Linked DNA regions of Macaca mulatta. The protein of the gene in region 6 purifies or fractionates together with the protein of the main gene of each other region. This does not show direct contact. Links are inferred from orthologs where the notes say so. Each region holds a gene or a part of one and is shown on either strand. Other genes may lie near its edges.

The links.
Region 1: the proteins of NOLC1 (region 6) and TCOF1 purify together in Homo sapiens (affinity purification with western blotting; 4 studies listed by BioGRID and IntAct, with this or other methods). This does not show direct contact. The link is inferred for Macaca mulatta from reciprocal best matches to the Homo sapiens genes NOLC1 and TCOF1.
Region 2: the proteins of NOLC1 (region 6) and NOP56 purify together in Homo sapiens (affinity purification with mass spectrometry; 6 studies listed by BioGRID and IntAct, with this or other methods). This does not show direct contact. The link is inferred for Macaca mulatta from reciprocal best matches to the Homo sapiens genes NOLC1 and NOP56.
Region 3: the proteins of NOLC1 (region 6) and ARRB2 purify together in Homo sapiens (affinity purification with mass spectrometry; 5 studies listed by BioGRID and IntAct, counting the BioPlex papers as one, with this or other methods). This does not show direct contact. The link is inferred for Macaca mulatta from reciprocal best matches to the Homo sapiens genes NOLC1 and ARRB2.
Region 4: the proteins of NOLC1 (region 6) and ARRB1 purify together in Homo sapiens (affinity purification with mass spectrometry; 4 studies listed by BioGRID and IntAct, counting the BioPlex papers as one, with this or other methods). This does not show direct contact. The link is inferred for Macaca mulatta from reciprocal best matches to the Homo sapiens genes NOLC1 and ARRB1.
Region 5: the proteins of NOLC1 (region 6) and CSNK2A2 purify together in Homo sapiens (affinity purification with mass spectrometry; 5 studies listed by BioGRID and IntAct, with this or other methods). This does not show direct contact. The link is inferred for Macaca mulatta from reciprocal best matches to the Homo sapiens genes NOLC1 and CSNK2A2.
Region 7: the proteins of NOLC1 (region 6) and NOP58 fractionate together in Homo sapiens (co-fractionation; 3 studies listed by BioGRID, with this or other methods). This does not show direct contact. The link is inferred for Macaca mulatta from reciprocal best matches to the Homo sapiens genes NOLC1 and NOP58.

Annotation. Positions count from the first base shown.
Region 1 is NC_133411.1:159,339,633-159,343,132, forward strand, and holds part of TCOF1 (treacle protein), read left to right. Parts: intron 1-526; coding exon 527-739; intron 740-967; coding exon 968-1,162; intron 1,163-1,302; coding exon 1,303-1,512; intron 1,513-1,693; coding exon 1,694-1,906; intron 1,907-2,056; coding exon 2,057-2,245; intron 2,246-2,441; coding exon 2,442-2,687; intron 2,688-2,779; coding exon 2,780-2,977; intron 2,978-3,500.
Region 2 is NC_133415.1:81,429,492-81,433,771, reverse strand, and holds the start of NOP56 (nucleolar protein 56), read left to right. Parts: upstream 1-1,480; 5' UTR 1,481-1,509; coding exon 1,510-1,512; intron 1,513-1,690; coding exon 1,691-1,780; intron 1,781-2,128; coding exon 2,129-2,243; intron 2,244-3,048; exon of another isoform or gene 3,049-3,123; intron 3,124-3,251; coding exon 3,252-3,413; intron 3,414-3,585; coding exon 3,586-3,784; intron 3,785-3,903; exon of another isoform or gene 3,904-4,035; intron 4,036-4,105; coding exon 4,106-4,280. UniProt on the Homo sapiens protein: Involved in the early to middle stages of 60S ribosomal subunit biogenesis. Required for the biogenesis of box C/D snoRNAs such U3, U8 and U14 snoRNAs. Part of the small subunit (SSU) processome, first precursor of the small eukaryotic ribosomal subunit.
Region 3 is NC_133421.1:6,246,856-6,250,355, forward strand, and holds part of ARRB2 (beta-arrestin-2), read left to right. Parts: intron 1-248; coding exon 249-316; intron 317-442; coding exon 443-578; intron 579-816; coding exon 817-901; intron 902-1,168; coding exon 1,169-1,241; intron 1,242-2,038; coding exon 2,039-2,176; intron 2,177-2,978; coding exon 2,979-3,062; intron 3,063-3,155; coding exon 3,156-3,235; intron 3,236-3,312; coding exon of another isoform or gene 3,313-3,348; coding exon 3,349-3,403; intron 3,404-3,500. UniProt on the Homo sapiens protein: Functions in regulating agonist-mediated G-protein coupled receptor (GPCR) signaling by mediating both receptor desensitization and resensitization processes.
Region 4 is NC_133419.1:75,673,523-75,677,022, reverse strand, and holds part of ARRB1 (beta-arrestin-1), read left to right. Parts: intron 1-1,486; coding exon 1,487-1,558; exon of another isoform or gene 1,559-1,653; coding exon of another isoform or gene 1,654-1,671; intron 1,672-2,281; coding exon 2,282-2,509; intron 2,510-3,500. UniProt on the Homo sapiens protein: Functions in regulating agonist-mediated G-protein coupled receptor (GPCR) signaling by mediating both receptor desensitization and resensitization processes.
Region 5 is NC_133425.1:53,802,437-53,806,454, reverse strand, and holds the start of CSNK2A2 (casein kinase II subunit alpha'), read left to right. Parts: upstream 1-1,218; 5' UTR 1,219-1,589; coding exon 1,590-1,693; intron 1,694-2,474; coding exon 2,475-2,586; intron 2,587-4,018.
Region 6 is NC_133414.1:114,264,066-114,267,565, forward strand, and holds part of NOLC1 (nucleolar and coiled-body phosphoprotein 1), read left to right. Parts: intron 1-2,107; coding exon 2,108-2,163; intron 2,164-2,273; coding exon 2,274-2,419; intron 2,420-2,521; coding exon 2,522-2,649; intron 2,650-3,153; coding exon 3,154-3,319; intron 3,320-3,500. UniProt on the Homo sapiens protein: Nucleolar protein that acts as a regulator of RNA polymerase I by connecting RNA polymerase I with enzymes responsible for ribosomal processing and modification.
Region 7 is NC_133417.1:107,476,375-107,479,874, reverse strand, and holds part of NOP58 (nucleolar protein 58), read right to left. Parts: intron 2,257-3,500; coding exon 2,093-2,256; intron 567-2,092; coding exon 432-566; intron 108-431; coding exon 46-107; intron 1-45. UniProt on the Homo sapiens protein: Required for the biogenesis of box C/D snoRNAs such as U3, U8 and U14 snoRNAs. Part of the small subunit (SSU) processome, first precursor of the small eukaryotic ribosomal subunit.

The DNA.
Region 1 (3,500 bases), on a different chromosome or scaffold from region 6:
CAGAGCAGGAAGGAGGAAGAGTGAGGGTCACCCACCCAGCCCCAGGCCTAGGGAAGGACAAGGTGGAGGCATGCAGTAGGTAAGCAGATCCCCTGTGTTAGCTGCTGGTAAATGGTAAAGGGGAAAGTTGGGTGGGGGATGTAGGAATGGCAACTTGAAACGGAGTGATCTGGGCTGGCCTTGGGAGAAGGCGTCTCAGCAAAGACCAGAAGGAGGAAGCACTCTTAGGAAGGTCATTCCAGGCAGGGGCTCAGCAACTGTCAAGGCCTTGAGGTGGAAGTAGGACTCCCTCCTGATCTTGCCCATTGTGTCTCCCAGGTGAAGCCCTTGGGGGAAAACCCCCAGGTGAAACCTGCCTCCACCATGGGCACGGGGCCCTTGGGGAAAGGCGCTGGCCCAGTGCTACCTGGGAAGGGAAGCAGAGGGGGTCTTAGGAGCCTCATTAAGGCCTCTGGACTTTATCTTAAAGGCATCATCAGAGAGTTCTCACAAGCAGGAGAGCAAACTGCCCTTTCTTTTTTACTAGGTAAAGACCTCTGAAAAAATCCTCCAGGTCAGAGCTGCCTCGACCGCTGCCAAGGGGACCCCTGGGAAAGGGGCTACCCCAGCACACCCTGGGAAGGCAGGGGCTGTAGCCTTCCAGACCAAGGCAGGGAAGCCAGAGGAGGACTCGGAGAGCAGCAGCGAGGAATCGTCTGACAGTGAGGAAGAGACGCCAGCTGCCAAGGCCCTGCTTCAGGTGAAGCCTGAGGAGGGAGACCCCATGCAGTCAGGCCCTCCCCAGAAGGCTTCTCAGGACTTGTTCTCCCACTCTGTGTCAGAGCCCGGGGCGTGCCTCAGACCCCAGCCCCTTACTCCCCTCTCACTGTGTGGTGTCATTTGCCCTATCTGGTCTTCTTTACCTGGTGTCCTGTGTCTCCTCACACATCCATCCCCTGGGCTGTCTCCCCTTATCTTGTTTCTCCAGGCAAAGGCCTCAGGAAAAACCCCTCAGGTCGGAGCTGCCTCAGCCCCTGCCAAGGAGTCCCCCAGGAAAGGAGCTGCCCCAGCGCCCCCTGGGAAGACAGGGCCTGCAGTTGCCAAGGCCCAGACCGGGAAGCAGGAGGAGGACTCGCAGAGCAGCAGCGAGGAATCGGACAGTGAGGAGGAGGCGCCTGTTCAGGTGAGGCAGAGGGGAGGGGTGGAGAGTAGCCCCATGCCTAAACCCCAGCACCTGCATGGGTATGGCCACCTTTGCCGCCTCCAGCTCCTGTCTCCTCACACCTTCCGGGCTCTCCTCTCTCATCCTGTTTCTCACTCCAGACGAAGCCTTCAGGGAAGACCTCCCAGGTCAGAGCTGCCTCGGCCTCTGCCAAGGAGTCCCCCAGGAAAGGGGCTGCCCCAGCACCTCCTAGGAAAACAGGGCCTGCAGCCACCCAGGCCCAGGCAGGGAAGCAGGAGGAGGACTCGGGGAGCAGCAGTGAGGAGTCAGACAGTGACAGGGAGGCACCGGCAGCCATGAACGCAGCTCAGGTGAGGCTGGAAGCCGCCCTGCATGGCCTGTGCCTTGCCTCAGAAGACCTCCTGTGGGCTTGACTTTTCCTCTCTGAACCTAGAGCCCTGTGCGGCTGGCTTCGTTTGCTCTCCTCCCCACCTATGTCTTCACTCATATTCTCCTTCTGGACTCCCTGATCTTGTCCATTGTGTCTCCCAGGTGAAGCCCTTGGGGAAAAACCCCCAGGTGAAACCTGCCTCCACCATGGGCACGGGGCCCTTGGGGAAAGGCCCCGGCCCAGTGCTACCTGGGAAGGCGGGGCCTACAACACCCTCGGCCCAGGTGGGGAAGTGGGAGGACTCAGACAGCAGCAGTGAGGAGTCATCAGACAGCGATGATGGAGAGGTGCCCACAGCTGTGGCCCCGGCTCAGGTGAGGCCCCTTCCTGTAGGCTCTTTTCTTCCCCTCAGAGTGGAGCCACCCATGGCCTCCCACTGGGACTCTGTCTACCGTCTTGGTCTCTTAATGTCTGTACACACCTACTCTGGGCTCCCTCTCCTGATCCTGTGTATCTCACTCCAGGAAAAATCCTTGGGGAAAGTCCTCCAGGCCAAACCCGCCTCTGGTCCTGCCAAGGGACCGCCTCAGAAGGCAGGGCCTGTAGCCATCCAGGTCAAGGCTGAAAAGCCCATGGAAGACTCAGAGAGCAGCGAGGAGTCGTCGGACAGTGCGGACAGTGAGGAGACACCAGCAGCCATGACTGCAGCTCAGGTGAGGCCTGGGGAAGGAGGCTGCCACATGGCCTGATCTACCACACCACAGTCAGCCCCCCAGGGAGCTGTGCTTCCCTCAGGCAGATCATGGGTTCTGACTGGTGGGGCAGAACAGTAGTGGGGATCCACCTCAGAACAGATGGGGGACTCCGAGTTCAGGAATCTTCTCCAGCCTTTCTTTGGTGTCCCCTTAGGCAAAACCAGCTCTGAAAATTCCTCAGACCAAGGCCTGCCCAAAGAAAACCAATACTGCATCTGCCAAGGTCACCCCTGTGCGAGTGGGCACCCAAGCCCCCCGGAAAGCAGGAACTGTGACTTCTCCAGTAGGCTCATCCCCAGCTGTGGCTGGGGGCACCCAGAGACCAGCAGAGGATTCTTCAAGCAGTGAGGAATCAGATAGTGAGGAAGAGAAGACAGGTCCTGCAGTAACCATGGGACAGGTGAGGCCTGTGTTTAATGGGGGGACCTCAGGGCCGCCCCTACGTGGTCCTTTGGACTCCTAGAGACACCTCTCTTCCACTTGTCATCCCAGGCAAAGTCTGTGGGGAAAGGCCTCCAGGTGAAAGCGGCCTCAGTGCCTGTCAAGGGATCCTTGGGGCAAGGGACCGCTCCAGTACTTCCTGGGAAGACGGGGCCTACGGTCACCCAGGTGAAAGCTGAGATGCAGGAAGACTCTGAGAGCAGTGAGGAGGAATCAGACAGTGAAGAGGCAGCTGCACCTTCAGCACAGGTGAGGCCTAGAAGGAGCAGGCCCATCCCACCCACAGCTGTTCCTGAGCCAGGGCTGAGGATGGGCTTGATTGGGGGCTAGTCTTGCCTGCAGGTGTGCAGAAGCCTCAGCGGTAGCCTCAACACTACGTCCTTCCCTGTCTTTCACTCCATGTCTCCTCTGCCCATCAGAGCTCCAGGGTCTCTTGTCTTGTTGGCCTTTTGAGCTCCCGCTGATGTATTCCCTGTGGTTTCTACAAGCTCTGGAGTTCCCACCCTGCCAGGTGCTGCCCTTGTCTGGGGCTGCTGAGGCCCTGTTCCTCGGGGAAGTCCTGTCTCTGGAGCATGGATGTGCTCCTCCAGTGTGGAGTGATGGGGTTGAGTTAGAGGGTGTAAGCCTGGGCTGCACAGCATGACAGGTGAGAGTATCTAGGCCTTTTACAGGAGGTGGCGGCATCTGAACCATGGGCTGAAAGAGATGGGCAGGGAGAGTGTTCCAGCAGAGGAAGCAGTCTATGCGAGGCCAGGGAATGGGAGAGTGCCCG
Region 2 (4,280 bases), on a different chromosome or scaffold from region 6:
CTGCCTCGGCCTCCTGAAGTGCTGGATTATAGCCCACCCAATCCTACTTTTTTAAAATGCTGTCCATTAATGCATTCTGACTTCTTGCTTGAAAGCCCCTGGTTTAGTGAATAAGCACCTGTAATCCCAGGAAAATTCAGGATTAAGGACAGAAATAACGAAGTAAATTGAAGTCTTAGCATTAATATTTTCCATTACATTTTGGAATCGTCTAATTTTATGTATTGATGACGGTAAAAATAATTCAACATGCTAATGTATGGATTAATTTTGCAATTCCATTTTAAAATGTTAAATGGAATAACGATTCAGATTCGTTAAGTCGACATGTGTAACAGAATTCAACCACATCTGTAAACTATATTAAAATTATGTGAGTAAGATTTACCGGCCATATTTTTTAGGTTTGACATATTAGATTTGTGAGTGAACTATGTACTTGGATTTTGTCAAGTAACTCAATCGATTAACAAAATAACAATTAAATGTATAAATGTAGTTTATAGCTATACAGCATTTTTAAAAATCCCCTTCGAATGACTCTTTAAAATATATCAGGGGATATGCTACTTAAGCATAACTAGGTTTTGGATTTATAACGTTAATATTAATTATTAAAGCAAAACTCATTTCTAAATAGTCGCCTGAGAGCCCAAAAGACGCCCTCGAGGACAGGGAAGGAGCTCCGATTCACTTGGCGCTCGCCGGTGCCCAGAATTCAGGGCCGCTCAAGCGGAGGAGCAACACGTGGCCAGCAAAAGAAGCTGGGTCCCGTGCAGCACAGCAACAAGAAACTGGCCTAGGAGGACGTTGGAGCGTCTTTCTTTCGCACGTCACTGCCTGACACCGTCATTTTAAAAAATAATAAATAAAATTAGTAGTACGAAGAAAGCTGCGCAAGCCACGTTCCCAGCAGGGTCTGCGCCAAAGCGCGCAAGGAAACGCTCCCGTTCCGGGTGGGAGGAAAGGATGCACGGCCCACCCAGCGCTGGGGAGGCTCGTCCCCGAGTAGGGGACGGGAACGGATGGGTCCCGGGGACTTGGGGCGCAGGGTCTGGGGCCCGAGGCCACGGGCGCAGCGGGCAGCCGGCTAGGCAGCGGTCTCTGGGATGGACGCCGTGCCCTACGCGGAGCCTCCCACCCCGACTTCACCCATCTCTGCTGCCCGCAACTTATATGACAAGAACATCTGGAACTGGACTATTATACCGAAAGGGCCTACCCATGTCTTTTCGCTGCCAGCAAGGCCCGACTCCGGGCCGCGCGTCCCCGGCAACCGCGCCCGCCCACGCAGCTGCAGAGGCCAGAGAAGGCCTGCTCGCCCGCGCTCGGCGCCACCCAGCCCGCGCTCCGGGCGATACCACCCCGGGCGGCCCCTCTAAAGGCCGGGAGATGGTGTCGTCCCCGGCCTCCGATTGGTCTGCGGGGCGGGGGCGGGGCCTCTGGAGCCTGGTTCCGCGCGCCGGAGCGCGCTAGCCGCATTGCGAGCCGAACCCGGGAGCAGGCGCCATGGTGAGGAGTGGTTGTGGGGCGCGGGCGACGCGAAGGTGGGGGCTTCGGTCTGGGTTCGCGCTTCAGACAGAGCCTGGGCCTGGGCCTGGGCCTGGGCCTGGGCCTGCGCCTGCTCTCGGAGCGGGTTCCGGCAGACGCGGAGGTTGAGCTGACGCTAGCGCCCCGGCTCCCGTTCCAGGTGCTGTTGCACGTGCTATTTGAGCATGCGGTCGGCTACGCGCTGCTGGCACTGAAGGAAGTGGAGGAGATCAGTCTGCTGCAGCCGCAGGTGGGTGAGATCCATGGGCTCCTCAGGCGGCCTCGCAGACCCTCACCGCGCAGGTCCCAGCATGCAGCGCGCGCTCCCACGTGGCCGGCCGAGAGGTTCGGGGCGGGGGGCGGGCCTGGAAAGCTCTAGATCCGGGGGTCTTTACCTTGACTCATGGGAAGAATCGCTCTAGCAGTTAGAAATAAGCCTCCCGGACCCCGCGCCGGAACGATTAAAGCAGAAGCTGGGTTGTGGGGTCCCGCTGTCAGCATATTTTAAGAGCTTCCAAGGCTGAGAACCGCTGCTTTACTGCGCCGCAGAGGCAGGAGGGAGGGAAGGAAACCACTCAGCCTCTTTCTCCCCCGCTAGGTGGAGGAGTCCGTGCTCAACTTGGGCAAATTCCACAACATCGTTCGTCTGGTGGCCTTTTGTCCCTTTGCCTCGTCCCAGGTTGCCTTGGAAAATGCGAACGCCGTGTCTGAAGGTGAGTCGGCCACCACCAAGTATCACAGGGAGATGTGGTTCCTTCTGGTATCCTCTCGGGCAGCTTGTGATAGTATTTGCCGTCCTTGGCCGGCTGTGAGTCTGATAGGTGTGAGGCAGTATTTGAGACATAACTGTGTAATTTGAAATAATTGTCTTCACAGAGCTCAAGATCTGGGAACTGTGATGGACCAAACTGTTGAAAGCAGATGATGTGGGATGTGTGTTACGTTTCCTTGTGGGCACTGTAGTGACAGATTATTTATTTTTTGAGACAGAGTCTCTGCCCTCCAGGCTGGAGTGCAGTGGCACGATCTGGGCTGACTGCAACCTCCGCCTCCCTGGTTCACGCGATTCTTCTGCCTCAACCTCCCGAGTAACGGGGATTACAGGCGTGTGCCAGCCACCACACCCGGCTAATTTTGTGTTTTTAATAGAGACGGGGTTTCACCATGTTGGCCAGGATGGTCTCGATCTCCTGATCTCGTGATCCCCCGCCTCGGCCTCCCAAAGTGCTGAGATTACAGGCGCGAGCCACCGTGCCCGGCTTGACAAAGGGGGTTTCTTAAAGGGGGTTGGCTTAACACCTACCTGTGCCTGAGTTTTTTGCCTAAACACAATCAGGTGTCTAGTTTTCTGCTATTTGCTTGGAAAGGGCGGTTGGATAAACACAGGCTAAGAAAAAAAGGTTAATTCTACTAAAGGCAAATTCTACTAAATACTCAAGGGTGTGTTACAAGCTATTATTTATTGCACGATTGTGCTATCAGACCTGAGTGCAGTTGTTCCCATGGCTGGGCCAGGCTTTGCAGTGATGACTTGCGAATCAAATCTGTCAATCCCCTGAGTGCAGTCACTGATGTCTCCATGTCTCTGAGCAATGCCTGATGGGGAGGGGTCTAGGTATGCCATCCCAGCATGCTCCGTGGAAGCAGGGTAATCAGCTGAGGAGATGTTAGAATTGATCATCCTTCAGCCTGTGAGTGGGAACTGTGTTCTTTCCTCTGAGGGGTTGTTCATGAGGACCTCCGCCTGCTCTTGGAGACCCACCTGCCATCCAAAAAGAAGAAAGTACTCTTGGGAGTTGGGGATCCCAAGATTGGTGCTGCAATACAGGAGGAGTTAGGGTACAACTGCCAGACTGGAGGCGTCATAGCTGAGATCCTGCGAGGTGAGACCATCATCTGTTATATTCATGTTATCCTTGACATTTTCGGGGAGGAGGTTCTGGAAACGTGGGTGCTTGTTATGACTTCTGGGAAGGCCTTGGACTTGGCTGGTGCCCATGGGTGCGGGAGCTAGCTCAGAGCCCCTTGTTGCTCACCGTCCTGCCCTCTTCTTAGGAGTTCGTCTGCACTTCCACAATCTGGTGAAGGGTCTGACTGATCTGTCAGCTTGTAAAGCACAGCTGGGGCTGGGACACAGCTATTCCCGTGCCAAAGTTAAGTTTAATGTGAACCGAGTGGACAATATGATCATCCAGTCCATTAGCCTCCTGGACCAGCTGGATAAGGACATCAATACCTTCTCTATGCGTGTCAGGTAAAGTGCAGGGGCCACCCATAATACTGGAGCCTTTGGTCTGTAGTTTAGCTAATTTTGAGTCTTGATGAGGACTGACCATCCTGTGGGTAGAACTATGTGGACTGGGGCTGGGTCTAGGCCTCCTGGTGCTTACCACAGGCTGTGTTCTTACACTGACTGTATAGAAAGAGGAGGTAGAGTAAACCTACCCTATATACACCTCAGCTCAGGCCCTGTGCCTGGTCTGTATTGTGAATGGGGGAACATAGAATGAAGATTTGTAGCTCTATGGTTTTTGATGAAGCAGCTGGGCCAGGGAGTGACTGTGGCTCTTTGCAGGGAGTGGTATGGGTATCACTTTCCGGAGCTGGTGAAGATCATCAACGACAATGCCACATACTGCCGTCTTGCCCAGTTTATTGGAAACCGAAGGGAACTGAATGAGGAAAAGCTGGAGAAGCTGGAGGAGCTGACAATGGATGGGGCCAAGGCTAAGGCTATTCTGGATGCCTCA
Region 3 (3,500 bases), on a different chromosome or scaffold from region 6:
GCGTGACCCTGCCTTCTGCTCTCTGGACCTGCATGGATCTGGGGATGGGGGCTCCCCTTGCCCCTTGCACTACCATGACCAAGCCTCTGCCAGGTTCGGGGCTTTGGAGAGGAAGACTTGGTCGCCAGGGTCGTGAGACCACAATGGGGCAAGCATCCCTGCCCAAGAGGAGGGAAGGGGGAGGAAGGAAGGGGAGTGATGGTGGCGGGAGCCTTGGGTAAGATGTGGCCTTTTCTCCCCCTCCTGAGGCCTGCGGCGTAGACTTTGAGATTCGAGCCTTCTGTGCTAAATCACTAGAGGAGAAAAGCCACAAAAGGTGAGGGACGCGACCTCCTCTATGATGTAAGAGGAGGCTTTCCAGGAGCCCAGGCCCCGTGCGGGGGAGGAGTAGGGGTCTAGGTGTCTGAGGATTGACCCCCTTCTGCCCCCACCCCCATCCCAGGAACTCTGTGCGACTGGTGATCCGAAAGGTGCAGTTTGCCCCAGAGAAACCCGGCCCCCAGCCTTCAGCAGAAACCACACGCCACTTCCTCATGTCTGACCGGTCCCTGCACCTCGAGGCTTCCCTGGACAAGGAGGTGGGGTGTGAGAGGGTGACGCGGATGCCACGGTGCAGTTTAGACCCAGGGGAGGGGGGGCGAAGCCACACGTCAAGATGACATTTGTAAAGGAGGTTGCCTTGGCTGGATGTGGAGAGTTGCCGTATGCTTGGGTTTGATGGGAGGGGGCCAGAACAATGTGTTGTGTTTGGGGACACACTGATGATGGGACCAGTAAAAACCAGATCCAATTCATATGACCCCCTCCCCCCAAAAGCTGTACTACCATGGGGAGCCCCTCAATGTAAATGTCCACGTCACCAACAACTCCACCAAGACCGTCAAGAAGATCAAAGTCTCTGGTAGGAGGTGGGGTTTGGAAGGGGGTCTTTGGGGAGGGTGTTACTGCACAGGTGGCTCCTGGTGTGATCTCAGCCCAGGCCATTTCCCAGGGCGGGAGACCCACCAGGGCTCAAAGAATTTAGGTTGTTCCAGAATGATACAGGGAGCCTCGGTGTTTACTGCTTCCAGGGGGGAGCATGGAGGGGCCACGCCACGGGGTCTGGAGTTGTGTTGTGGGGGTGGCTTGTGCTCCATCCAGAGCTGCCTGACCCTGTCCCCCCCCACAGTGAGACAGTACGCCGACATCTGCCTCTTCAGCACCGCCCAGTACAAGTGTCCCGTGGCTCAACTCGAACAAGAGTGAGTATCGGGAGAGACCCAGTTCCCAGTCTGGGGGAGAAGAGCAGGATCGGGAGAGTGTGAGGTGGGGGAAGAATTCTTCCTAAGCCATCGCCACTATTTTTTTTTTTTTTTTTTTTTTTTTGAGATGGAATTATTGCTCTTGTTGCCCAGCCTGAAGTGTGATGGGGCAACCTCTGCTCACTGCAACCTCCACCTCCCAGGTTCAGGCGATTATCCTGCCTCAGCCTCCCAAGTAGCTGGGACTACAGGCATGCAACACCATACCTGGCTTATTTTTATTTATTTATTTATTTATTTTTGAGACGGAGTCTCGCTCTGTCGCCCAGGCTGGAGTGCAGTGGTGTGATCTCAGCTCACTGCAAGCTCCGCCTCCCGGGTTCAAGCCATTCTCCTGCCTCAGCCTCCCGAGTAGCTGGGACTATAGGCGCCCGCCACTGCGCCAGGCTAATTTTTTTGTATTTTTAGTAGAGACGGGTTTCACTGTGTTAGCCAGGCTAGTCTTGAACCCCTGACCTCAAGTGACCCACCCGCCATGGCCTCTCAAAGTGCTGGGATTACAGGCGTGAGCCACTGTGACCAACCACCATCTTCACTTAAAAGGGTATTCCCTCTACAACCAGGCACCTCTGGGTTGCTAATTTTCTTGAGCACGTTGAGCCACAACCTACTCCCTTGTGACCTGTGCCCAAAGAGAGAAGGGACTGGTGAAGGGGAGATGCTGCTTGGGGGTGATAGGCCGCCCCTCGCCCAGTCCAGCCCCTTGAAGCGTCTTGTTCTCTTGTTCCCACCCCCAGTGACCAGGTATCTCCCAGCTCCACGTTCTGTAAGGTGTACACCATCACCCCGCTGCTCAGTGACAACCGGGAGAAGCGGGGTCTCGCCCTGGATGGGAAACTCAAACACGAGGACACCAACCTGGCTTCCAGCACCATGTGAGGGTGGGGCTGGGGCGGGTCCCCCACAGGCCAGGGGCCAGACGTCAGTTGAGTGCTAACTATGTGCCAGGCCCTATCCTAGGTGCCAGGGAGGTACAGTGAACAGAAGAGACAAAAAGAACTCTTACATTCTAGGAGAGGGAGGCTAGACAAATCCGATCAGTGGTCACTGTACGGCAGGTTTAGTGACAAGTATGAAGGAGAAAAAGCCAGGCAGAGAAGGGAGGGATGGGGCGCAGTGAGATGCAAAGGTGAATTGGGAGTAAGGACCCAGCGGAAGTAAGCAACATGGGTGAGCAGGAAAGGACAGTTCTGGGCAGAGAAAAAACAAAGACTCAGAGGTGGGGCAGCCTGGAGTGTTGGAGGAATGGGGAGGTGCCATCGTGCCCTCGGGCAGGAGCAGCCCTGGAGGTCCTCAGCTTCACAAAGGGCTGGATTTCACCTTCCCCGGTGCCTTTGTTCAGGGTTCTCACTGCACAGCCACATACAACAGGCCCGGAAGGCAACTTATCAAGAACTAAGTAGCAGGAGAGGAGGAGGAGGTGAGGTCAGGGGCTAATGGAGAGCCAGACGGTGCAGTGCTGTTAGCGGAGAAGGACAGCTTTTACGGGAGAGAAACCACAGGAGGCTCTGCACGGGGAGTGCAGCGCGCACTGTACCGTAACCGCACGCCCGGGCTGCTGGGGCCCCGCGGGCCTGTGCGAGTTTGTGGTCCTGCCCAGAGGCCCCATGGGAACCCCACGGTGGGCCAGGTGACAGGGGGATGGGCCCTGGTCTGACTCCACCACCGCAATTGCAGCGTGAAGGAGGGTGCCAACAAGGAGGTGCTGGGAATCCTGGTGTCCTACAGGGTCAAGGTGAAGCTGGTGGTGTCTCGAGGCGGGTGAGTGTCATGGGGGGTCCTGGGTGGGGGTCACACTGGCTCTCGATGGTCCTGTGTTGTCATCCTCTTCACGATCCCTCTCCCCTTCCCCAGGGATGTGTCTGTGGAGCTGCCTTTTGTTCTTATGCACCCCAAGCCCCGCGACCACACCCCCCTCCCCAGACCCCAGTCAGGTGAGCACACCGCCCACCCCAAGCCCTCAGAGGGAGGGCCTGAAGCAGGGCCAGTGGAGGAAAACTGGCCCTTCCAGCACCCACCCCCACACCCCCTCTTCCCATCCCCCCAGCCGCTCCGGAGACAGACGTCCCCGTGGACACCAACCTCATTGAATTTGATACCAAGTAAGAAACTCATTCCCCTACGTCACCCTCTTGGGACAAAGATTCCTGCCACATTCAAATCTGCCCTCATACCTCTTCCTCGCTTTCTGGGGGGAGA
Region 4 (3,500 bases), on a different chromosome or scaffold from region 6:
GGAATCTAGCCCCCAACACACGCAGGCACCCTGAGAGCTGTTCAGCAGGTGTTCACAGAGCACCCCCTCTGTATCAGGCCCCTTGTGAGCCCTGGGATCCCCGAACACTCTGGGGCACTGTGCGGAGCTGCTCAGGGACTTACTGTGACCCTTCTCCCATAGTGACCCTGCCATTTGGCTTGATCTGATGATACCCTCCCTATGCTTACCGGTTCCCCACCAAACCTGCACACAAGTCCGAGCCCACTGTCCTCACCAACGGGACATTGGTGATCCATCCTGGCCCTCCTCTTCCACTGGCAATGGAATGACAATGGGTTAGAGGGTAGGGGGAGAGAGAGGAAAGAAAGGTTTGGCCAGAGATAGACAGGGGATGTCAGCCAAGGGGGTGACCCTGAACCAGTGTTTCTGGCCTCCTGAGGTGCTGAGTAGAGATGTCCTTTGTGTTCAGCTGGACTCTGCTCCCGAGGGCCAGGGCACTGAGGCACCTTCCACAACCTGCAGAGTGCTCTCGAGTGCTCGGCACTGTCTAAGTGCTGTACGCATGTGCACATTCATGCGTATACCCATTCAGTCCTCACGGGAGACCCATGAGGGAGGCACTGCAGATCACAACCCCTGATTCACATGTGGCAAGCCCAAGAAGCTCTGAAAACCTAGCATTGCTTCCAAGTTTAATGCAGAATTCATTCATTGGCAAACCTGACCCCAACTGATGTGAGGCTATATTTAGCCTCTTGGTGAGAATATTTGTGTTTTCCTACGGAGGTATCAATGGCTTTAGTAATAGGGTGCAGATCTTGCAGAGGTCATTACAGAATATATGGAACGTGTACCATTTTGCCTATTTTATTTTATTTTGAGACAGAGTCTCGCTGTGTTGCCCGGGCTGGAGTGCAGTGGCATGATCTCAGCTCACTGCAGCCTCCGCCTCCCAGGTTCAAGTGATTCTCTTGCTTCAGTCTCCCAAGTAGCTGGGACTACAGGTGTCCACCACCATGCCCGGCTAATTTTTGTATTTATAGTAGAGATGAGGTTTCACCATATTGGCCAGGCTGGTCTTGAACTCTTGGCCTCAAGTGATCCACCCGCCTCAGCCTCCCAAAGTGTTGGGATTATAGGCATAAGCCCCCATGCCCGGCCCATTTTGCCTCTCTATGCTTCACAATTTCTAAATTCCAAAGTATACCTGGTTCTAGGAGTTTTGGACCTGTGTTACTATTCTTACTAACATATGAAGAAACAGAAGTGTTAACTAACCTGCTTAAAGTCACCAGCTGGGTCTGTTAGGCTGGCCTGGGATGAGGGAAAGGTAGAGCATGGTGGAGGTCGGCAGTGCCACCCTCTAGGTGCCGGCCTTTCCATTTTTCTCAGGATGATTTTAGATGGACATATGGTTGAATCTGGGCTTGGGCTGGTGTTTGGGGGCGCAGAGGTTTGGGAGGCCAAGTTGGGAGAGGCTGCTCACTCTCTGTCCTTTCCCCAGATGGTGTGGTCCTGGTGGATCCTGAGTATCTCAAAGAGAGGAGAGGTAGGCTGTGGTCCCCATCCCCAGCCTGTCAAGGGCCTCCTCTTCCCCCTGGACCTCTAGCATAGGATCTCCCTGTCCGTCCCCACTGGTTCCCCTGAAAGCCTCAACAAATACCCCCACAGATGCCCTTGCCTCCTCCAGCCTGGGACGGCCCTGCCCCAAGCCTACTTTGGGAGAAGGTTTCCCTATGCCCTGAGCACTTTCACATCAATATGTCATGACTATGGCAAGGCTGGGGATGCCAGCAGGGCAGGATTAGGGTCTTCTTTAACAGAACAGAACGTTGATACCGGGGCAGTATCAATGTGCACCAATGTGCAGGAAGACAATGTGCACCAATGTGCACCAATGGGCGACTGAGCTGTGACAAGATCCTTGCCTTCCAGATACCACCCAGCACTTGCCCTGCCCCTACAACTCCCTGCTCCTTCCTCAGTCCTCCTACCCCCACCCCAGGCCTGCCAGACTACTCCAGCCCCCGCCAAGCCTGTCAGACCATTTCCATACCCCTCCACACATGCCATGGAGAGAGGTGGGAGGGGGAAGAAGGACAGGGCTTGCTCAGCAGGCAGCCCCCTCCTCCTCCCAGGGGCCAGGCCATGGCATCCTTCCAGGTACTCAATACCAGCCCCTCCTGGTGGAGACAGTACAGCCATCCCCAAAGAGCTTGGGACAGGCCTGGGGCCTCCAGCGGGGCTTGTCCCATGGCTGCTGTTGGCACTCTGGGGGGCTCACCTGCTGCTCTCCCAGGCCCCTCCTCAGTGCTCCTTGCTCCCCACAGTCTATGTGACGCTGACCTGCGCCTTCCGCTATGGCCGGGAGGACCTGGATGTCCTGGGCCTGACCTTTCGCAAGGACTTGTTTGTGGCCAACGTGCAGTCCTTCCCACCAGCCCCCGAGGACAAGAAGCCCCTGACGCGGCTGCAGGAGCGCCTCATCAAGAAGTTGGGCGAGCACGCCTACCCTTTCACCTTTGAGGTCAGGAACTGCCACCCCTGGAGCCCCATTCCAGAAATACCACCTCTAGGAAGCCCTCTGGGGTGGGCATAAGGGGTCGGTGTGGGTCATCTGCTCCCTGCCACCCAGTTTCCCAGTGTATGCTGGGACCTGGGGCACTGACACCTATGTTACCTGGTAAGTGTCTCTTCTCTAGCCCCTGCTGGGGTTTGTCACCTGTACCTTTGGGCCACTCAGACCGAGGCCAGGTCATTGGTGGGAGAAAGGGGGCGCCAAGGGGCTTCAGAGAAAGCAGGAGCCCTTTGTGGCCTGTGAGTCACTGCAAGGTGTCTCCAGCTCAGATCAGCTCCCCACTTGCCTGGTTTAACCCAGCTCGCAAGAGAGGGATGGCAAGTAGGTGATCTGTCTGCTCCACCACCTTTCAAATCAGAGACTAAGATGCTGGATTTCAAAATCTCAAGTTTCTTAGGCTCTCTGATTCTGAGATTCAGTGTGGTCCCTCCCTTTCTGGGAGACTTAGAGAGTGGAGAGGGTTATGGAGTCACCTTTTCCACATAGACATGTTAGCTCCCTATGGCTGCTGAAACAAATTGCCACAAACTTGGCAGCAATTAAAACAACACAGATGTATGAGCCTACAGCTCTGGAGGTCAGAAGTCCCAAAACGGGTCTCACTGTGCCTCAATGGAGGCATGGCAGGGCTGGCTCCTCTGGAGGCCCTCAGGGAGCGTCCACCTTTTCCAGTTTCGCTTTCCTTGGATCCTGGTGCCTTCCTTCATCGTCAAAGCCAGCAGTGGCTGTTGAGTCTTTTGCACATCCCATCACTCTGGCTCGTACATTTCTGCCTCCTGCTTCTACTTCTAAGGACTCTTATAATGATATCAGGCCCACCAAAATCATCCAGGATACTGTCCCCATCTCAAGGCCTTAATTGGATCTGCAAAGTCACTTTTGTCGTTAAGGTCCCAGGTTTGGGGGATCAGGGTGTGGACATCTTTGGGGGACCATTATT
Region 5 (4,018 bases), on a different chromosome or scaffold from region 6:
TTGTTTAATTCTCCTTGCAGCCCTGTGAAGTGAGTGCTATTACTGGTTTTGTGCTGTAGAATCTGTGACACAGAGAGGTTGAGTAATTGTCCTAAGGTCACACAGCTTCTAAGTAGCAGTGCTGGATAGATCTGACTCTACAGTCTGTGCTCTTAGCTGTGTCAAGGAGGAAGGCCCAGGATTTCATCTAGAAAACAGACTGTGAAAAGGGATTGGAATGAGAGCAACCTGCACTGGGTGCAGAGGTCCTGTCGATAAAGGATGCAGGATGGGAAAGGAAGACAAAGGAAGGGCCTAGAAGGTCCAAGGAGAAGGGTGTTCAGGGCTGCAAGCAACACTGGAAGCCAGGCCAGTTCAGTTGACCACCTACCCTGGTGCATCCCCAATCCCTGCTGTCCCTTCAGGTCGGATTTGCAATTCTGCTCTCCCTCCTCCTAAACACAAACAGGAGATTTACACACTCAAAGTCTCTCCCCACAAATAACTAACTAATCACAAAGGGAAAAATTGTAACTTTGCAGTGGCACAACCTGGCCGACGCCAGCTTAACCAAGTGACCAAAGTGGATATTCAGGGAAGGCTCTGGAAGGGCATTTGGGGGAAGCGTGGAAAGGTTTTGTGAGGACTCTGAATGACGGGGGTGGGAAGCTTTGGGGACTGAGGAGTCTACCCTAACAGGGCAGGGTCCAGAGGGGGAAGGAGGGGTATGTCTCCGGGAAAAGGAGAAGTATTGAGGTGGGAGAGGTTCTGAGGTTTGAGCGAGGCCCTGGGGAGGGACTTGACAGTTTGGGTGACAGGAGGGTCAGAATAGGGTCAGTATGGGAGGTGTCGGGTGGGTAAAAGCTGGGTGAGTGCAGGGCTAGGGGTAGGGTCTCCAAGGACAGTGAAAGGGTCGGGACTCGCGGGCGAGGGCTCTAGGGCAACGGCCAGTGGAAGGGGGGCTCCTGTGGCGTGAAGTCAGGCCAGCCCGAGGGTGAGGCGATTTGGACCGTCCGACCTGGGGCGACGGGAGGGCGAGGGTGCGGGACGGTGCGGGAGGGCGCGAGGTAGGCGGCGGGGCGTGCCGGGGCGGGGCCGGGGCGGGGCCGGCACCGCCCGGCGGGTCCCCCCGCGCTCCAGGGGGCGCTGTGAGCCTGGGCGGTCCCAGGCCGGGCGGCGGCCGCTCCCAGCGAGCGCGGCCCCTTTTCCGGGTTTCCTCCGCCTCCTCCTTCTCTCCTCCTTCTTCTCCGCTGCCGCGGCCGCTGCCCCTTTCCCGGCCGGTGGCTGCCACTGCCGGTGCCGCCGCCGCCACTGCCGCCGCCTCCTGGGGGCCGCGAGCCGAGCGGAGACCGCCGCGGATCGCGAGCGCCGCCCGCCCCGCCGCCCCGCCGGCCGCTCCAGGGCCGGGCCGGCTCGGCCGGCGCCCCCCGCGCCCCCAGCCCGCCCGCCCCCGCGGGCCCGGCCTGGCGCGGCCGCCCGCCGCCGCGTTCCTCCTCCTCCTCCTCCAGCGCCCGGCGGCCCGCTGCCCCCTCCGCCCGCCGCCCCGCGCCCTCCGCCGCGTCGCCGCCGCCACCCTCTGCGCCCCGCGCCGCCCCCCGGTCCCGCCCGCCATGCCCGGCCCGGCCGCGGGCAGCAGGGCCCGGGTCTACGCCGAGGTGAACAGCCTGAGGAGCCGCGAGTACTGGGACTACGAGGCTCACGTCCCGAGCTGGGGGTAAAGCCGCCGCCGCCCCCCGCCGGGCCCGCTGACCCCTGCCCCCGCCCGGCCACCCCCTGCGAACCGCACTCGGGCCCGGTGGTGTCTCCCGCCGACCCCTCCGCGGGCCCGCAGGGAGGCAGAGGTCCAGCTCTCGCACATGTCCTCGTCTTCCTCTTCCCTCCCCTTGTCCCTTTCTCCCCGCTTTGCGCACCTCTTTCCCCCAAGGAATGCTTTTTTACTCGGGGAGAAGTGTGGGGTCCAGGGATCGACGCCCGGTAAAAGTGAGGGAGTAGCCCTTCCTCACGCTTCTGGGTTTCCACTGGGGTGGGAAGTCAACAGCTGTCCTTTGGAGCTATTAAAATTCCCTGCCTTTTCGGTTTTCTGAGATGAGGTGGTGGGAGGAAATTTCTTAAAGACGTCCAGTTTTTTAAAACAGGCACTGTCTACCCTCAGGGTGTGAAACGGGAAGCAGGTGCTGGGGAGCCGCGGGGCACAGGGGGCACCCTCTAGGCCTTCAGGACGGGTGCTTTGCTCAGCCCTCTGGATTGGCTCAGAGCGTTGCCTTCCTGCCCCATCTTTCCAAGTTAGGAGAGACCAATTAGGTTAGGAGCTCTGCAGAGTGAAGGGAGCCAAGATTACGTCGTGGCTTTCATTTAGGGAATGAGTTGTGACGTGATGTATAGACACTTCCAAGTGTTTGCCTGTTGGAAGCGGCTGAATGACGTATACAGTGAGCATAGGCTTGCTTAGATTAACCCCCAGTCCTGGCATTTATGTGTGTGTCTTCCTTTTACAGTAATCAAGATGATTACCAACTGGTTCGAAAACTTGGTCGGGGAAAATATAGTGAAGTATTTGAGGCCATTAACATCACCAACAATGAGAGAGTGGTTGTAAAAATCCTCAAGGTGAGTGTCCTATGAGTGGTATGTAACATTTTTCCCCCCACAGGGCAGAAGGTTGTAAGCTACCCCAGTCACGTTCTAGAATGGGCAATGCAAGCTTGAATTTAATTTAATTTATTTATTTAGAGTCAGAGTCTCACTCTGTCACCCAGGCTGTAGTGCAGATCATAGTTCACTGCAGCCTTCAACTCCTGAGCTCAAATGATCCTCCCATCTCACCCAAGTAGCTGAGACTACAGGTGCATGCCACCACGCCCAGTTATTTTTAAAATTTTTTTGTAGAGTCAGGGTCTGGTCAAGTTGCCCAGGCTGGTCTTAAACTCCTGAGCTCAAGCAGTCCTCCAAAAGGACTCCTTGCAGGCCTCCTAAAATTGCTGGGTTTACAGGCATAAGCCGCTGTGCCCAGCCCACGCTCAGATTTTATTTATCTGATGTCCCTTCATTACTTCTTTTTCCACCCCATTTTGCTGTGAACTTTCAAGAAAATGTGCAGACTGGTCACAGATCTTAGTTCAAATCTAAGTTCAGGAAGGTGTTTGTTCTAAAAAGTAAATTGCCTAAAGCAAAAATTCCTAAAGGGCTCCATTTGTTAGAAAATAAATAGGTATTCAAAAGACAGGAAAGCCATTCTCAATTTAAGGGCTCCCTGAGCACTGTGTTTGTTAGTCTTGGTGCATGCTCTCCGTTGTTCCAGAAAGAAAGTTGGAAAAAATTGGAGCGACTTCAGAAATGTATGTCAAACCCAAGTGGAAGGAAATTCCTTAGCAGATAATCACTTGCTTTTTTTTTTCCTTTGGCAGTAAAGTTTCAGGTGGGATGGATATAGTGCGCCAGTAGTGCTGAGAAGCCTTGTTGGGAAGCCAGAGAGCCATTGTTGCTTATCAGCTAGTAAAAATGTAGAAGAATTCACGTATTATTACTAAAGCAATAATTGGAACAAAACGATTTTAATATATGGTTTAGCAATCAGTTTGATAATGATATGTCTTTTGTTATCTCTTCCATGAAGATGATTTTAATGAGCATGAAGGGTCGGCTAAATTTTCCTTCTGGTAACAGATTAATTGTATAGCTTTAATAATGTTTTATAGGCTATAGTAAAAAGTAGTTCTTAGAATCTGTGATGGGTCTTCGTTATTGCCAGATCATTTCATGTGGTTACATGTCATTTAGTGAGAGATTGAGAAGACGGAAGAGTGACGTAAGCACTTTGCATACATGTGATTTCCAGTGTGGCCCTTTTGCAGAGGTTCTGTGGACTAAGAATGTGGAATTGAAAAGCTGTTTCTGTGTGTTAGAGCAGCTGTGTAGGTAATCACTGTTTAATGTGAGGGGTCAGGCTTATGCTTCCTGGTAATCTTTCAGAAAAAATGATTAACTCCATCACTCAAAACATCCTAGCCTAGTGATGAAGAAGCAGAATTGCAGTAAAGAG
Region 6 (3,500 bases):
CGCTCTTGTTGCCCAGGCTGGAGTGCAATGGTGCAATCTCAACTCACCATAACCTCCACCTCCCAGGTTCAAGCGATTCTCCTGCATTGGCCTCCCAAGTAGCTGGGATTATTACAAGCATGTGCCACCACGCTTGGCTAATTTTGTATTTTTAGTAGAGACGGGGTTTCTCCATGTTGGTTAGGCTGGTCTCCAACTCCCGATCTCAGGTGATCCACCCGCCTCAGCCTCACAAAGTGTTGAGATTACAGGCGTTTAGCCACCACAGGCCGAGCCATGGCAGTGCCATTGCACTCCAGCTTGGGCGACCAAGAGCGAAACTCAGTCTCAAAAAAAAAAAAAGAGAGAGAGATGGAGGTCTCACTGTTTTGCCCAGTGGTCTTGAACTCCTGTCTTTAAGTGATCTTCCTGCCTCGGCCTGCCAAAGTATTAGATTACAGGTGTGAACCACTGCGCCCAGCCTAAATGCAGTTCTTTTTTTTTTTTTTTTTTTGAGACTTGCTGTGTCGCCCAGGCTGGAGTACAATGCTGTGATTTCAGCTCACTGCAACCTCAGCCTCATGGGTTAAAGCGATTCTCCTGCCTCAGCCTCCTGAGTAGCTGGGATTACAGGTGTGCGCCACCACGCCCAGCTAATTTTTTTTGTTTTTGGTAGAGACAGGGTTTTACCATGTTGGTCAGGCTGGTCTTGAACTCCTGACCTCATGATCTGCCTACCTCAGCCTCCCAAAGTGCTGAGATTACAGGCCTGAGCCACCGTGCTTGGCCCCTAAATGCAGTTCTTTACACTCAATACAATACTCATCAGTCTTGTTTCTTTTTTTCTTTCTTTCTTTCTTTCTTTCTTTTTTTTTTTTGAGACAAGGTCTTGGTCTGTCACCCAAGCTGGAGTGCAGTGGCGTGATCTCAGCTCACTACAGCCTCTGCCTCCGGGGTTCAAGCGATTCTCCTGCCTCAGCCTCCTGAGTACCAGGGATTACAGGCGTCTGTCACCACACCCGGCTAGGAGACGGGGTTTCTCCATAGATAGTACATTGCTAAAGTAAAGAGAGTGAGCTTTTTTTTTTTTTTTGGCAGGTGGAGGTCTTGCTGTGTTGCTCAGGCTGGTCATGAAATCCTGGCATCCAGTGATCCTCCTGTCTCAGCCTCCCAAAGTACTGAGATAACAGGCATGAGCCACTGTGCCCAGTCAAAAGTGATTTATTTATTTATTTATTTTTTGGAGATAGAGTCTTACTCTTTTTTTTTTTTTTTTTTTTTTTTTTTTGAGACGGAGTCTCGCTCTGTCGCCCAGGCTGGAGTGCAGTGGTGCGATCTTGGCTCACTGCAAGCTCCGCCTCCCAGGTTTACGCCATTCTCCTGCCTCAGCCTCCCGAGTAGCTGGGACTACAGGCGCCTGCCACCTCACCTGGCTAGTTTTTTGTATTTTTTAGTAGAGACGGGGTTTCACTGTGTTAGCCAGGATGGTCTCGATCTCCTGACCTTGTGATCTGCCCGTCTCAGCCTCCCAAAGTGCTGGGATTACAGGCTTGAGCCACCGCGCCCGGCCGAGTCTTACTCTTGTTGCCCAGGCTGGAGTGCAGTGGCGTGATCTCAGCTCACTGCAACCTCCGCCTCCTTGGTTCAAGCGATTCTCCTGCTTCAGCCTCCCAAGTAGCTAAGATTACAGACGTGTGCCATCACACTGGGCTAATTTTTGTTTTAGTAGAGAGGGGGTTTCACTGATTTGGCCAGGCTGGTCTCAAACTCCTGACCTCTTGATCAGCCTGTCTCAGCCTCTCAAAGTGCTGGGATTACAGGCATGAGCCACTGTGACTGGCTGATTTTTTTTTTTTTTTTTTTTTTTTTTTAGGACTTTGGTCAATATAGATTGGTGGGCAGGGGGTTAGATGGTGCCACAAACATGATAATAGCCCAAGTTTTTTAGATCAGAAATTGGGATATCCACAAACAGAATGTTTTTCTCCTGATTTATGCATGTAGCAAAAGTTTTATGAAGATGTAACATTTATACCAAATTTAGTAATTATGTATATAACAGGCCACATTTAATGAAAGCATAACCAGGATAAAATAATTTCCTTACCCAGCTCTTTTTCTTCTACAGACACAGCAGGATGCCAATGCCTCTTCCCTCTTAGACATCTATAGCTTCTGGCTCAAGTAAGCCTTTCCTGTTCCATTTTGGCTATTTCTCCCCCAAGGTGGGCTGGGCTATGTTTCTTGGTTTGGGAAGATTACAGTCTCCTAGAAATTGGTCTAATCTACCTTAGCAGGTCTGCCAAGGCCCCAGAGCGAAAGTTACAGGCAAATGGACCAGTGGCTAAGAAAGCTAAGAAGAAGGCCTCATCCAGTGACAGTAGTGAGGACAGCAGCGAGGAGGAGGAGGAAGTTCAAGGGCCTCCAGCAAAGAAGGCTGGTAAGGCAAAGTAGCGGGTGGGCTTGGTGGTGCCAGGAAAATAATTTACAGCCTGCTTGTTTCACATGGGTGATTCTTACTGGGACCTGTGTTTTTGTTGAGCTGTACCTGCCAAGCGAGTCGGTCTGCCTCCTGGGAAGGCTACAGCCAAAGCATCAGAGAGCAGCAGCAGCAGTGAAGAGTCCAGTGATGATGAGGAGGAGGAGGACCAAAAGAAACAGCCTGTCCAGGTTTGCAGCTCTGGGAAGAAAAGGGGGTTTAAGGATTGGAAAGGAAGAAACCAAAATCTTGGCCTCTAACTTGTAACCAAGGAGTGATGGCCGGCAATACAATAGGTGATTATGAGGAAGAAAATCTGGGGATTTTCAGAGAGCTGATAAAAATATGAGATCTGGAAGGGATTTGTGAGGTTGAGGTCAGGCTTGGAATCTAGAGGAAATTAAACCCATTCTGCTTGAGGAGTTTGGGTTCTTCTGGGACACTATTCAGGGCTCCAAGAATAAGAGAGTGTGTTTTCTTGGGAGCTTTGGCAGGATATGGCAGGAACAGGGCCAATGTATCAAGTGGCTGAACTTTGTTGTTTCTTAAGAGTTTTTTGCCCTTTCCATATCCTGTCCTTAGCTTTCTCTTGCTCTTACTGCTGCATTAAGCCCCTAAAAATAAAAGGAACATAGGATGCCCTTTGGGTACCTAGAAGCTTTTGTTGATTTCTCTCCTTGTGTCTTTTCTAACAGAAGGGAGTTAAGCCCCAAGCCAAGGCAGCCAAAGCTCCTCCTAAGAAGGCCAAGAGCTCTGATTCTGATTCTGACTCAAGCTCCGAGGATGAGCCACCAAAGAACCAGAAGCCAAAGATAACACCTGTGGCAGCTAAAGCTCAGGCTAAGGCCCCTCCCAAACCAGGTACTGTTTCCGTTCCCAAGAGGCTGGGCTGGGAACCAGATTGCTCTGGGGACTGGTGTTAAAACTGCTGATTTGGCACAGGGGTGAAATGGTACTGGTTGTTGAACTGGAGGTATTGATTACTGGTCTTTTAATTTTAAAGGTTTTACTAATAACAAGATTTCATAGGAGCTAGTAAATA
Region 7 (3,500 bases), on a different chromosome or scaffold from region 6:
CATTTAAAAAAACTATTCACCCCATTGTCACTTAAATGTACTCACCTTTTGTGTTCATATTTTTCTGTTTTTGCTAATGCCTTTCCTGTTCCACTTATTTTTCTTATCTAAGACGAAAAGGAAAAATTACAAATACAATTCTAAGTCACTTTATAATACACTAAACAGTCTAGTGAATCAGTGGGCCAGCAAACAATTTCTGCTATTTTTTGTTATTTTGAATAGCATATCCTAATGGCAAATGCTATTGTATACATCAATTATTGGTAAATAATAGCAATTGTTAATAGTAGGCACAAAAAGAATACTTTAGACATACTAACAAGGATCATAAAACTGTTTAGCAGATAAAGTAACTTCATAAATTTACTCAATTTATTAACTTTTGACAGTTTAATACTTCTGGAATAAGCATGATGTGGTATTCTTACCCCTCTATCTTCCAAAGTTCTCAACCTGGCCTCTAATTTGGCTCTGTTCTCAACTCCCATTGCAGAACTTGAATCCTCACCAAAAGCATCATAACGGATAGCCAAAACAGTTTTCGCTGCCAGCATTCGAGAAATCTAATAGAAAAACATGAAGAACTATATTCCATGTTCAGATGTAAAATCCTCAATAACTGGCTCATGAGACAGTTCCAGCAAATTATCACATTTATTCCAGGATGTTATGAAACTATTATGAATCATACAATTCAAATCATCCATCGTATTTCAATCTTTGCCACAATCTAATGGCCATACATTACCACCAATTCTGTGGCTGAAAAGATTTTATAGCAGTTCCTGTCAAAAATTAGCTCAAACTGGATTTTGTAAAATTACTTTACTTTCTACCCACTGACATTAGTTCTGTGCCTTGAGGTCATTCACAACAAGTGCATCTTTTTCCCCATAACTTAAATATGTGTGGGTTCTGACTGGGCACAGTGGCTCAGCCTGTAACCCCAGCACTTTGGGAGGCCGAGGCGGGTGGATCACGAGGTCAGGAGATCGAGACCATCCTGGCCAACATGGTGAAAACCCGTCTCTACTAAAAACACAAAAAATTGGCTGGAAGTGGTGGCGGGCACCTGTAGTCCCAGCTACTCGGGAGGCTGAGGCAGGAAAATGGTGTGAACTCAGGAGGTGGAGGTTGCAGTGAGCCGAGATCGCACTACTGCACTCCAGCCTGGGCGACAGAAAGAGACTCCGTCTCAAAAAATAAATAAATAAATAAATAATAAAAAGTGTGGGTTCTTTTTCAACCTAATTAACATTTTATTTTATTGCACCCTTTATTTCCCTCCACCACTCTGCTCTAAATTTTATCAAATTTCAGTTTAGTTCTGTTAAACAACACATCTTTCAAAAACATTGGAAGTACTTAACTTGTCTAAGCCTCAGTTTCATCATCTGTAAAACAGATACCTACATCTCATAAGGCTACTAAAGATTTAGGATGGGCACGGGTGCTCACACCTGTAATCTCAGCACTCTGGGAAGCCAAAGTGGGTGGATCACGAGGTCAGGAATTCGAGACCAGCCTGGCCAACATGGTGAAACCCGTCTCCACTAAAAATACAAAAATTAGCCAGGTGTGCACATGCCTATAGTCCCAGCTACTCAGGAGGGTGAGACAGGAGAATTGCTTGAACCCAGGAGGTGGAGGTTGTAGTGAGCCGAGATCAAGCCACTTGCACTCCAGCCTGGCAACAGAGCAGGACGCCGTCTCAAAAAAAAAAAAAAAAAAAGGTTTAGTGAATTCTGTCAAAGTGTTTTAGCATAATGCATATACTATTGTTTATGATTCATAAATGTTAGATTTTTTTTTCCTGCCAGAGATAATATTTTCAGTGTGCCAACCACAGGGAGATCCTAGGGGAAAAAAAAATACTAACACAATGAAGAAACTGGCTTTAAATCAACAGATAACAATTTCTTCTAACTTTATCCTTCAGTGTACACAAAGTGCTTTTTATTTAAATAACTCACCATTCTCTAACGAGAAAGAGACAATAGAAAGATTTAATGTGTACTACAGAAGAAAAAAGGGTTGTAAAAAATGAAGAAGTCCAACCTCAAAAACAAAACAAAACCCTGTAACACACCTTTCCTTTGTGTTTGGGACTTGTCTGGCCTACGAGTGAAGCATGATAAATGAGACCGTACTTAGGGGTATCCCGTCTAGATTTGAGGGCTCTGAAGAGTGCCTTTTCTGCTCCAAGAATCTGAACGGTAGAAGCTGCATGCTTGGCCAAATTCAAAAGAGAACCTATAAAAGAAAAAAGTTACCAAGAATGCACCTTCAAATATATGAATGTTCCATGTACTAAAACAAAAGACCTATACAATATTATAGCCACCACAATAAATAAAAATCACATATAATATAGAATTCTATAATCCAGAATTCCCTAAAAACCTTGATGTTTCATTTGTAATTCCTTCATTAGCACAAGCAGGTTTGCAATGAATGCCTAGGACAAACTGAAGGTTAAGCTTATTAAGTCCAATGTCTCTATTCACCTGAGAGATGGTAGTACCATTCTATATTTCATTAGTGTACTACAGGAGTGACATAAATGTCACACACAGGAACACTAGGTTTTAAGTCTCTTGCCACCCCACTCAGCTCCCCCGCCATCCCTATCTACCCATTAGTCACTTTTGTAGCCCTCTCCGTGGTGCAGTAGTACTGCAGTGCTTATATTCAAGTAAACAATGCACAAAAATAGTTATGCTGGCATATTTTTTTTTTTTGAGATGGAGTTTTGCTGTCGCACAGGCTGGAGTGCAGTGGCACGACCCTGGTTCACTGTATCCTCTGCCTCTCAGGTTTAAGCAATTATCTGCCTCGCCCTCCTGAGTAGCTGGGATTACAGGCGCCCACCACCACGCCCAGCTAATTTTTTTCGTATTTTTAGTAGAGACAGGGTTTCACCATCTTGGCCAGGCTGATCTTGAACTCCTGACCTTGTGAGCCACCCTACTCGGCCTTCCAGAGTGCTGGGATTACAGGTGTGACCCACTGCCCCTGGCTGCTGGAATATTGTTATAACTGTTCTATTATTACTGTTGTTCATATCCCACTGTACCTAATTTATAAATTAAGCTTTATTGTAGATATGTATGTTTAGGAAAAAACAGTATATACAGTATAGGGTTCAGTACTATCCTCTGTTTCAAACATCCTTGGGAGAGCTTAGAATATATCCCCATAAATAGCTGGGGACTATTGTTATCAACATGCTGCTTAGTTGGATATGCTGAATAGAATATTTATTGTCAGAAAACAGACTCAATATTAATGCTATGAATTTAAGCACTAGACATAGTTTAAAAAGTGTAATAAATACATAGTTCCTTTTTTTTGAGATGGAGTTTCGCTCTTGTCGCCCAGGCTGGAGTGCAATGTCACAATCTCGGTTCACTGCAACCTCTACCTGCTGGGTTCAAGTGATTCTCCTGCCTCAGCCTCCCAAGTAGCTGGGATTACAGGCTCACGCCACCAAGGCC